Coturnix japonica: one gene and its partners. The protein of the gene in region 2 interacts with the protein of the main gene of each other region in a pairwise test. Links are inferred from orthologs where the notes say so. Each region holds a gene or a part of one and is shown on either strand. Other genes may lie near its edges.

Region 1 (3,440 bases), on a different chromosome or scaffold from region 2:
TCCAGAATAGAGCAAATCAGTAAGAAAACTTCTCTGAGCTGCTCCAAAAAATGTTCATAACAGCCTCAGGCTAGCAGTTACTTTTAAGGTTGCTGCTGTTCTATCACCTGTTTTTCTGGTAATTAGTCTCAGGTGCTACTCATCAACTTATATAACAAAGTCCAGCTGAGATTTTCTGAGTCATCACATGAAGGTGTACTTTTCTTCTACACTTAATATCTCCTTACCACAAACAAAAAGCTGGATAATATTTAAAGAAAACAATATGTACACTGCAATTCAACTATACCAAAAGCATAGAAAAATTCTAAACAGAATTTCAAAAGACTGGGACCCACAAAAGCATTAAGTTTCTCTACAAATAGTAGCTGATTTCAACCCCCATTTAGGAAAAAGAGAGGAATTACATACATATGGCCAAGTCTGCTAGTATCTCTTGGGAATGAGAAAGGTCCAGCTGATCTGAACTGGTTTGATTGGTTTGGTCCCTCACCTGGCTGCCCAAAACTTAAGAGACAGTAACACTCAAAAACATTTGCAACAGAACTGTCTTTATTTCAAGGCTATTTGAAAGTTTATTATAGTTCTCATGGGATCATCCAAATATGGGGAGGCAGAAACACTTTTATTACTTAAGACCTGTGTGACTGGTGGGTGGTTGTAGCACTTAAAAAGAAAAAAAAAACAAAAACTGCCCAATTTTTGTCAACAGAAGAAGGAAACCTGGTTGGGAACAGCTGAAAGTGAATATAGAAGGGATTGAAGAAAAGATAAAAAAAAAAAAAAAAGCAGAGTGAGCCAACAGGAAACAGTATTATTTCCTTTTTATGATCACCTTTAACTTAAAAGCTTAAGACTTGTGCCTTGATCAGCACTTTAAAAGTCATGTTAATATGAATTTTAAAAAAAATGTTATTAAAGTTGCAAAGACAAAAAACCACACTGCCACTATGGCCTTCACCTCCATCAGGTCTCCAGCAAAACAGCTGGGAGGCAGCAATACCCTCCACAAGGCAAACACACAAGAGATTGTGAAGGCTGATACACAACAGCTGTGTCCAAACACTTTCTCCATGGAACACAGGCATTCAAACAACCTCCACATGATTAAAAAAAAAAATACTGTAAAGGAGGGAAGTATTTATTTTAATGGAGACCTCTAAACACTTCATGGAAGGGGATCAGACCTACTTATTTTAAAACAAGAGAAAAAGAAGGTCACAACTGAAGTCATATCTCACTTGAACTCTTACATTACAAGCATTTCTCACTGAGTTTCTCAGATCTCAGTCAATGTGTAACAGTCCTGACTCAGTCACCCCCACACAGTCTACAGTTTGCTAGATATTTCTGTAAAAGGCAAAACTCTCTGTTCAGATACTGTATGTTGAAAACACAGAAATTTTATGAACTGGAATTTCTGTGTTACTGCATCCATATTAATATATAATTAAGAAGTCTTTCCATCTAGAGAGCTTATTTATCTCCCATGCTAACTTCCGTAGGGTTACTAACCTGTACTAGCCATAAATGTCAGTGTCTCTTCACTTCTAGCTGTTCCTCCTCCAAGATCACATCTTTATCTGGTTTGTCAAAATCTACTAAGAAGTGGACAAGACAAAGTTTTAATCAAATGTAAGCAGTAACAACAGGTTTTATTCAAAACTTCCAGTAAAGAGGAGCCGCTAAGTTTGGAATAAAGGTACTTAAAGTACTACAGCTTACGTGAATATAAAAGATCAAAGAGAAGACAATAAACCAAGCCGTAAAAAAAAAAAAAATTAAAAATATATATATTTTTAAAAGTTTGAAACAGACCCACATGAGGATTCTGAAGCCCTCCAAACAATTAACAGTTTCTAGATTTGGCAAAACAAGATTCTCTTACAAAATTAAAAGCCTATTTCTGTTACATACACTGTATAAAACTGCTCAATAGTTAAAAGAGCACACTGTACAACTTTGTCTTGAAATACATAGAGCTGCAGCCTTCCAACTGCAGGAATTAATCATTTTGTCCTCTTCAGAGGTAAAAAGAATTAACCAGCTGCGCAATTGCTCTGGGAGAAAAAGGAAGAGGCAAAAAAAAAAAAAGTCAGAATTATCAAGGTGAAGCCACTATAAAAATGAAATGCACAGCAAAACTCAGACCTCAGTTTAAACTAACAACCTATGTTTACAATATATTCTACATTTCAGTTGTCACCTTCTCTTCCCACTCCCTCTTCCCCCCATTCAAATACTCCTAATTCCTTTATGGGTCTACGTCTAAAGGATTTCTAAACTTTCAAATACACCATACATACATTTACCAAAAAACATTCCTAACATTCTTACAGCAGTACGGTCAGGACACAGTTTCCAAGATTATGACAAGTTATTGGTATTAAAACTATATGTTAGGTGTTTGGTTTGGTTGTTTTTTGTTTGTATGTCTGTCTTATAAAGAGAAGAATAACCATCAGCTTAAACAAATGATTTTAAAACATACTGCAGAAAGCCTGCTAAAAGCAGGCTTCACCAACATTAGCTCCTAGCCCAAGGGGACAACGTGGGGGAAAAAAGCAGTGAGTGCTGGATGTCATGAAGGAAGAGAATCTCAGAGTGCCAACCATAGGAAACTCCTTTGTGGACTCAGTCCAACAGCTTGTTGTTCTGGCTCAGTAGCCTCCTTTATGGTAAGGCCTGCAAATCAACTTTGCAGTAGAACGTTACTGTGTAAACTAAAATACTTGATACCAACAGTATTATGTCAAAGGGGTTGGTTTTTGTTTTCTTTTTTCATTGCGTTTTGTTGTATTGTTTTCTTCCCCGAATCCAACAGTTGGTCACAAAAGTAAATTATTTTCATGGCTCTTACTCAGCTGTTGTCAGTTCAGGGGGGAAAAATGAAAAAAGTGTGTGTCTGACTCATACGTCCTTCAAGTACACGCAAGGCTCGTTGTTTCCAAAATGCAGGAGCTTGGGACCTTAAGACACTGAAGAAATAGGATTATGAGGAGAGCCCATCTGAGTAAGTACTTTATCCAGCCACTGAAGGGGACCGTGAAGGTGTATCTCTATCCAGCATGGAGTACTCGTTACATCTTGTCGATGATATTCAGCTCCCCAACCCTGGAAACAGAATCATAGGCAGGGAAAATCATCTTACTGATAATAGCAAATACATGAGAAGCACACTTGAATCCATTTCTTTCTTACTGAAATAATCTAGCTTTCATAAGTGATTTTCAGCAGAACAGCATCTGATCACTATCACATTTCAACAAACAAACCCCAAGTTTGAAAAAAAAACAAAACAAAATTTGCAGCAATTGTCATTTTGTGATCTCTTGGAATTGAACTCTAAGTTCTCAAAAGATGTCACTTCTGGCAATACAAGACTTCCCCACACTTCACTGCCAGTTATATCATGTCCAATAAACCCTCTAAAGAAAAAG
Region 2 (3,667 bases):
AATTCTTTGTCTCCACTCCTCCCACAGAAAGCATGAAAAATAAAACTATTCTATTATAGTTACTGCAATGTAATAAAATGAAAGGGAAAAATAAAAACAAAAGATAAACAGAATAATTTCAGCTCCATCTGTCCTGTAACTTCTAGCAGAACCCAAACTAGCAGCAGGATCATTCCATGCAAGGCACTTGTATTTATGTTCACGTATGATTATACACATGCCCTAAAATCCGTACAAAGAAATATTAAGAAATGTCTCAGATACATATGAACATATGTCCACATATTTCTCCTAAGTGATTGCAAGAACAATACAATCACTAGCACAGGTTGCCCAAGGAGGCTGTGGATGCCCCATCCCTGCAGGCATTCAAGGCCAGGCTGGATGTGGCTCTGGGCAGTCTGGTCTGGTGGCTGATGACCCTGCACATAGCAGGGAGGTTGAAACTGGATGATCATTGTGGTCCTTTTCAATCCAGGCCATTCTATGATTCTACAAATCTCCAAGAACCTTCTAATGGTCTTACATCCCAAAACAAGCTTTTTGAGCAATTTTTCATTGCTCCCAATGAGTAACAGCATGGTTTTTCATTCTGGTATTATGCCTCCTTAGGTGGAAATGGCACACTTCCATCTTCAGATGTTTTGTGAATGGAAAATGGTAGTTTCCACACCCATTCCAATAAATTGCTTCCATGTATTAAAGACACACCCAAATAGTATAGGATTAAATTAAAAAAAAAAAATGCTGTGAAAACCAAAGTACAGCACAATAGCATTTAGTGCATAATCACATTTTAAATGTATAAGCACATATTCGAAAATAGTATACAACAGGTTAAAAAACTGCACAAAGTTTGTCATAGCGTTGAAAAAAAAAATCAGCCCAGCATCCTCCCCAGCCTCAACACACATACACACAAAGGCAACCTGCTTCATTACTTAACAACTACAGTCGAACCTTTGCCCTGCAAGAATCCCAGGTATCCAAACGAGCATCTTCTCTGAGGTGGGTAAAAGCCTTACCTTGTCGACTGTCTATTAACCATGATCTTCTAGACTGAACAAAACATGCTAGAAAACAAGGTACCAATAGATTACAGCAGAGAATAATAAGAATATGGGTTTATCCCCAAACGTCTGGCAAGCTTCACTACATCGCTTTAGGAAGGCCAGTCAGTTCCTGTGTGCTCCAACCTAAGTGGGAAATTTATGGAACAGCAGAACCACAAACTGTGCAGCACAGACCACCTGAGAACGCAGAGTTGGATTAGCAGCAGTACATCCCCTTGCAGAAATTAACTGCCCTTCCCCTTGACCTAATACTTACTGTTGGCTCCCACATCCTCAGCTACTCCAGAACCTCTCATTCTCAGGTATGTGAATCCCAGTATCAGAAAGAACAAGCATGCAGCAGTTAAGAGGAACATGGACAGGTAATGTGCACTGAAGCCTCCAGTGGTGGATACCTCCTCTCTTTTGAACTGTTGGAGAAGCTCCTCCTCGGGCTCGGAGAGATTCTTCTTGTAGGTGTTTTTCAGGTAGGTGTGATTTGAACCCGTATGATTGGAGTGGTTGAGTCTGAGGGAGGCGCTCCCGCCCGGGGGGAGGCTGTTGGTAGCGGAATAGATCCTGGCCTCTGTGCCGTAGCTGCCGGCGGCCCCGCCGAGGACGTGGTTGTTGGTGGCCTTCCTGGCGGCGCCCGGGGGCTCGGCGCCGTCACCGCCGTCCGCGTCCGAGAGCGGCGCCGCGGGGCCCCTCCTGGCCGGACCGAGGCGATACCGGGGGCCGATGGGACCCGGCTCCGGACTCTCGCATCTTCCCCCCGCAGCGGCCGCCGTCTCCTCGCGGCTCCCGCCCCCGTCTCGGCTCCCGGCAGCGGCCGCCCCCGCCGCCCCGTCAGTCGCGCCGGCACCGCATCCCCCGCCGTCCCTCTCCATCGCGCCGGCACCGGCCGCGGCGCATTTGCTCGCTGTGAACGGCGCGGACTTGCCGAGGCTCCGTCTGTGCCGTCGGGCCGCCGCCTCCTCCCTCGGTACCTGCTGCCGGGCCGCCGCCTCCTCTTCCTCCGAGTCTGAGTACTCGTTCCCGCCGCAGGCGAGCAGCCGGCTGCCGTTCACGGTCCGGTTCTTCCACCGCCGCTGCTCGCCCTTCTCCTCCTCCTCCTCCGCGTCGTCGTCGTCCTCCTCCCCGCCGTCCCCACGCTCCCAGGCTCTCGGATCCGCTCTGCGTGCCGCCGCCGCCCCCCACCAGGCGCCGTGCTTCCGCCGGGCCGCCTCCTCCGGGGGGGCCGGGCCGCCGCCGGGCCTCGCCGCACGGAAGAGGGGCGAAGCCCGCTCCCTCCTGCCGCCGGCCTGGCCGCGAGGGCCGGGCTCCGCGTCCGACTCGTCGGAGCTGAAGCCCAGCAGCACTTTGCCGCCCCCGGCAGGGGGTGCAGCGCGGCTCCGCCCAGCCCCGTGGAGGTACGGGTGCTCGGCGCCCGACAGCCGCCCGCCCGCGCCCGCTCTCCCGGCGCCGCCGCCGCCGCCTCCGGCCGCCGTGTTATTGTTGTTGCTGTTCCGGGTCTTGTTGGCGCCGCCGCGGGCCCCGGCTCGCTCCTCCTCGCGCAGCTTCTTCAGCTTCTTCAGATAGACGGGCCGGGTGCTCTCGGTGACCGGCCCCGGAGAGAAGCCGAAGCGCCTGAGCTCCGAGAACAGCTCCTCATCCGTCAGCTGCGCGGCCGCCGCCATTTTCCGCTCCCCCGCCGCCGCGGCGTTTCCTACCCACGCGCCGCGCCGCGCTCCCCGCCGGAACTGACGCGTGCGCACTCGGCTGTGGCCTAGACCCGCCCGTCACCCCCAGGCACCGCCCGCCCCCGGCCCTGGCTCGGCTGCGGCTCTGGGTACACCCAGACCCCACCTGCACCGTGTGAGCCGCTGCTCATGCACACACAGCCGATCCTCAGCCCTCTCCTAAAAGACAGGCAGCGCTGTGAGATGTTGCTGTGATGTGCTCCTCAATGAGCTCAATGGAAGATGTGCCCTGAGCATCACTCTCCTTAGACATACCAGTGTCTGGAGATGCTGTTTTCTGTAGGAAAATATACCGTCTCAAATATAGAACCGTGAAAACTAACAACATACATCAAGTGTGTTCATCACATGGGTGTTTGTCAAAATAATTGTGCCGATTGGCATTTCTCTGCGTGGGGCATGTGCCAGCCCTCCTGGTCCTGGAACAGGCTGCGCAGGGAGGCTGTGGATGCCCCGTCCTTGGAGGTGTTCAAGACCAGGTTGGACGGGGCCCTGGGCAACCTGATCTAGTAAAGGTGTATGTTTGGTGGCCCTGCCAGGCAGGGGGGTTGGAACTACATGATCCTTGAGGTCCCTTCCAACCCGGGTCATTCTGTGATTCTGTGATTCTGTGGTTGCCCTTTGACATATAGGCCTCATGTAGAGACTGCAAAGTCCCTTTGTGACCCATGTGCCTTTGTCTGACCATCCCAAACGACAAACTCTTGGCCTACCCACCCATGAGCACACCATAAATGCAGCACTGTTTCCATTTCAGTCTGACTATAATTGCCCTTGTAGCAATGCACGCACAATGGTCCAGAAGCAGGGTCTGGTGGTAAGAGCAGATGTATGTTTCCCACTCTGGGTCTGCTGCAGTGAGGGATGTGGCCTGCT
Region 3 (3,751 bases), about 120 Mb from region 2:
ATTCGAGGGTTTAAGGGGTAATACCTAAGGCAGATCATACATCCACTTTTCAACAGCAGTTTACTGTTCTCTGTGCAGTGTCACGGGCCGATGGGACCACTCACAACCCTGTGAAGGTATTACAACCCAGTTTGTAACACAATTTATGTTTGAATTACTCTTAGGAGGTAAATGGAAATTCAAAGAGACCGGCTCACAAAACCATTGGGCAGCAAAATTCCAGGCACTGCCTGCTGGGCTGGTGGGACCCCAGCAGCTGGATCCCACAGCCACAAGCACTGCTGTGACCGTGGGACGAAGAGGACACCTCCAATACTGACATCCCCGGTGTGTCATCCAGGCAGAGGATCCTGAGGAGAGCTGGTGGTCCCGCACAGCCCGGGGAGGTACAACCGGAGCCCAGCTCCCTCACAGGGCACTGTCCCAGTGTCCCCCTCACAGCCACCCCGCGGTGCTCGGAGCCATTTGTGAGGGGTCTGGTCACATCCCCGGAGGGACACTCGGGAAGGGAGGGCTGTGCGCTTCTCCTCGCCCCCTCGGGGTGCCCAGGCCCGGCTTCTGCCCCTAGAGAGACGGGGCGGGAAATGGCGGCGCTCGGGGACCGGGATGGGTGCGATGCAGAGAGTGAGCGGGGCGAGCGGCGCGCAGTGGGTGCGGAGGGTGAACTGTATGAGTGTGTCACACTCCATGTAGTGTGTGTGTGTGAGAGAGAGAGGGAAAAAGAGCGAGTGTGCGCGCGAGGCGGGCGGCGGGGGGAGCGCAGGGGCGGGCCGGCGGCAGCGGCGCTGCTGGCCGCGCTCCAGCCCGGCGCACTAATACAGGCTGGCGGCTCCCGCCTGACTGACGCCGGCCGGGGCTGCTGCTGCCGCTGCCGCTGCCGCGCTGCGCCCTGGCCCCGCCGCCGCCGCGCAGCTGCAGCCCCAGCCCCGCTCCCGCCCGCGGCGCGCCGAGACCCCCACCCAGCCCGCAACGGTGGCAGGTAAGAGCCGGGATCCCGGCCGCGTCCCGGGACGCAGCGCGGTGCCCAAAGTTCGTGCCGGGGTCGGGCGGCGCACCTGGGGCCGGCGGTGCGGGCGGCATCACCACCGGGAGGGAGGGAGGGTGGGAGGCATCCCCCGGGACGGTGCCCATCGGCGGGATGCGGGAGACACGGCGACGCCAGGGCTGAGAGCGAAAAGGAGGAGCGCGGGGAGAAAAGAGCGTTGTTGTGGATGGCTGGAGGCTGACAAGCATTCCCGCTGCGAGGGCTGCTTTCCTTAAGGAAAACAAAACCCACATGACTCGTTCGGAGAGAGTTTTTTCCCTTGCAGAGGTTATTTTCTGATCGAGAAATCCCGGCGCCGGACGCGCTCCCGAATAGAACAGAGCAGATTTGGGTTTGCGCTCCAGCTGCAGGCGCGGGGTCCTTCAGAACCAAACCGAACCGGGGTGACCCGCGATTGGGCCCGTTTGTATCCGATTCCGATCTCGTGTGTCGGCAACTTTGTGTTTTCCCACTTGGATTTATTTGATGGGTGAATTAATTTGATCCTTGCCGGGGCTGCTCGCTAAGGCACGTCAGTGGGAATAAAAATAAATGACACACACATGCGTGCGCACAAACACACGCGTGCTGTTAATTGCTGGCGTTTTACAGATTTGTGAGCGGGGAGGGGGGGAAAAAAAAGCACAGCCCAGAATGGCCAAGTCTTCGGTGAATGAGCTCTGCCTTGGCAGCGGTAGGAAGTGATGTGCACGTCTCTGGAACACGTTCAAGTTTGTGGCTGCCGGGGAAGGACACTGCAGAGAGCACGAGTTTCGGTGCTTTGCATCTCCTGTGTGCAGAGATGTGCGGCTGTATGGGTGGCGATGCCCTCCTCGGATCCCAAAATATAAGCTTGAGAAAAAGCCACGAAAGTCTTCCCGTCAGCCACGGGAGGATGAATGTCATCGCTCACCCAAACGTCATCCAGGCTGACAGCTCCCGTTGTCCAGGTTTGATGTGTGCCCACGTCTGCTTAGTTTGCGTTTGTTTCCTTCTATACTTCAGAGCCGAGGCTTCAGGTGTAATTTTTGTTTCATTTATTTGACATACTGAGTTACTTCGGCCACAAAGTGTGCCACAAAGTATTCTTAAAGTGAATCCTTTCAAGAAACACCCTGTGTTCTTCCTTCTGAGTTCTGCAGTAATTTCTGCTCCTGTCTGCCCTTTATGGTGGAGTTACAAATGTTCTTCCTCACCCTGTTGCAGGCATACAAGCGATAAAGCAATAACCGCAAAAACAAATAAGGGTCACTTGTATTTTATCCCAATTTGATCAGGATTTTTGTTTTCATTGGAGTTGGGGATGGATGCTCTTATTTACGTGCAGAACTAAACTGAACACACACAAAGGTTTGCTCTGAGCTCTCAACTTTGCAGAGCAGTTAAGCATTAATATTTTATCAATGCACTTGTCCCAGGCTGAGAGCACATACACGTATGCCGCATACCTACAGAAGGTGGAGGCGAGGCACTCGGAGCCCTTGCACACAAACTGGTGGTGGTTCCCCATCTGCCTTCACTGGGGACAAGGCAAGGCCCGACCCACTAAAATAGGACCACAGAAATGTTGGCGTAGCGTATCACGTAACATCTGGACAGTTAATCCTCCTTTCTCCCCTTTTATTCTTTTACAGACTTTGTGTATCTCGAGCTTGAATCCTCAGATATCTGCTGTTATCGGCTCGGCAGATAGGGTGTCATGTAATCCTCTGTGCTGAATGCTAAAGTGCTGTAATTCTGATGGCCTGGCTAATCTTTCTCGATAAAGTTTTATTTTTCCATTGTTAAATTCAAAGGACAGTGACTACTAATTACAAGTGACCTCTAACCAAAACACCAGTTAGCATTTATCGCTGCTGCTGATACTCGCTAAGAGTAATTCCAGCATCAGCTCTATGGGGCACCCTGCTTCAGAGAAACCCAAAAGAATAAAGGGAGCTAAAAGGGGAGAAAATACATAAGCTCTGGGTCATTTGTGGTAAAAATGTAGTGCGAGCGTCCATAGATTCCATTTGCTCTGCAGTATGTCTGTTGCAAATAATAATGACATGGATGAGGAAGAAATAATTAAAAATATCATCAATATTTTAACTGAAAACAGCACAGCAAAAACGTACAGAAGGTTGTTATGGTAGGCTGCCTGGTTTCCTGCTGCAGGCTGGTATAAAGAATCATTAGTGTTATTGTACATTAACAGCAAAAGATAGTAATAGCAATGACAATTTGAGAGAATCATTGCTTTCCTATTACTGTCTTTGAGAGCATTTGTTCTAAGAAACATTAGACTGAATACAGTGTAATAAAATTAATTTTTTTCAAAAATATCCCCAATTATTTCCCATCTTACATTCTTTTATAATGTTTGAATGGTAATAGCATAATAGCATGGGAATTTTACAGATGAAGAGGTGAATTAAAGAGTCCAGGGCTCTGCGTATTTATTATGGTAGCTGAAAACCACGCTGTGCTTTTGCAGATGAGTTAGATCTAATAGACTGCGGGATCAGAGCCCAGTCTGAGATCCTGACAAACAGATGTACGCATTTAAAACAAAACAGGTGAAACTTTTTCTGCCCAGGTTTTAGTGAAGATACCTGTGATTTTTAGATGAGTTGCTGCACAGGACCGACAGCAGGATTCTGAAAGAGCTATTGCAGCATCTCAGACAGGTGAAGCAGTTTTACTTTGAAGTTCAGCTCCTCAGGACAAGGACACAACAAGGACACA

The links.
Region 1: the proteins of LEMD3 (region 2) and SMAD1 interact in binary tests that used the Homo sapiens proteins (3 or more experiments, as listed by UniProt). The link is inferred for Coturnix japonica from reciprocal best matches to the Homo sapiens genes LEMD3 and SMAD1.
Region 3: the proteins of LEMD3 (region 2) and SMAD9 interact in binary tests that used the Homo sapiens proteins (3 or more experiments, as listed by UniProt). The link is inferred for Coturnix japonica from reciprocal best matches to the Homo sapiens genes LEMD3 and SMAD9.

What each region holds. Positions count from the first base shown.
Region 1 is NC_029519.1:27,382,218-27,385,657, reverse strand, and holds the end of SMAD1 (mothers against decapentaplegic homolog 1), read right to left. Parts: intron 3,115-3,440; coding exon 2,971-3,114; 3' UTR 531-2,970; downstream 1-530. UniProt on the Homo sapiens protein: Transcriptional modulator that plays a role in various cellular processes, including embryonic development, cell differentiation, and tissue homeostasis.
Region 2 is NC_029516.1:30,815,543-30,819,209, reverse strand, and holds the start of LEMD3 (inner nuclear membrane protein Man1), read right to left. Parts: upstream 2,805-3,667; 5' UTR 2,729-2,804; coding exon 1,330-2,728; intron 1,324-1,329; exon of another isoform or gene 1-1,323.
Region 3 is NC_029516.1:154,136,757-154,140,507, forward strand, and holds the start of SMAD9 (mothers against decapentaplegic homolog 9), read left to right. Parts: upstream 1-920; 5' UTR 921-979; intron 980-3,751. UniProt on the Homo sapiens protein: Transcriptional modulator activated by BMP (bone morphogenetic proteins) type 1 receptor kinase. SMAD9 is a receptor-regulated SMAD (R-SMAD).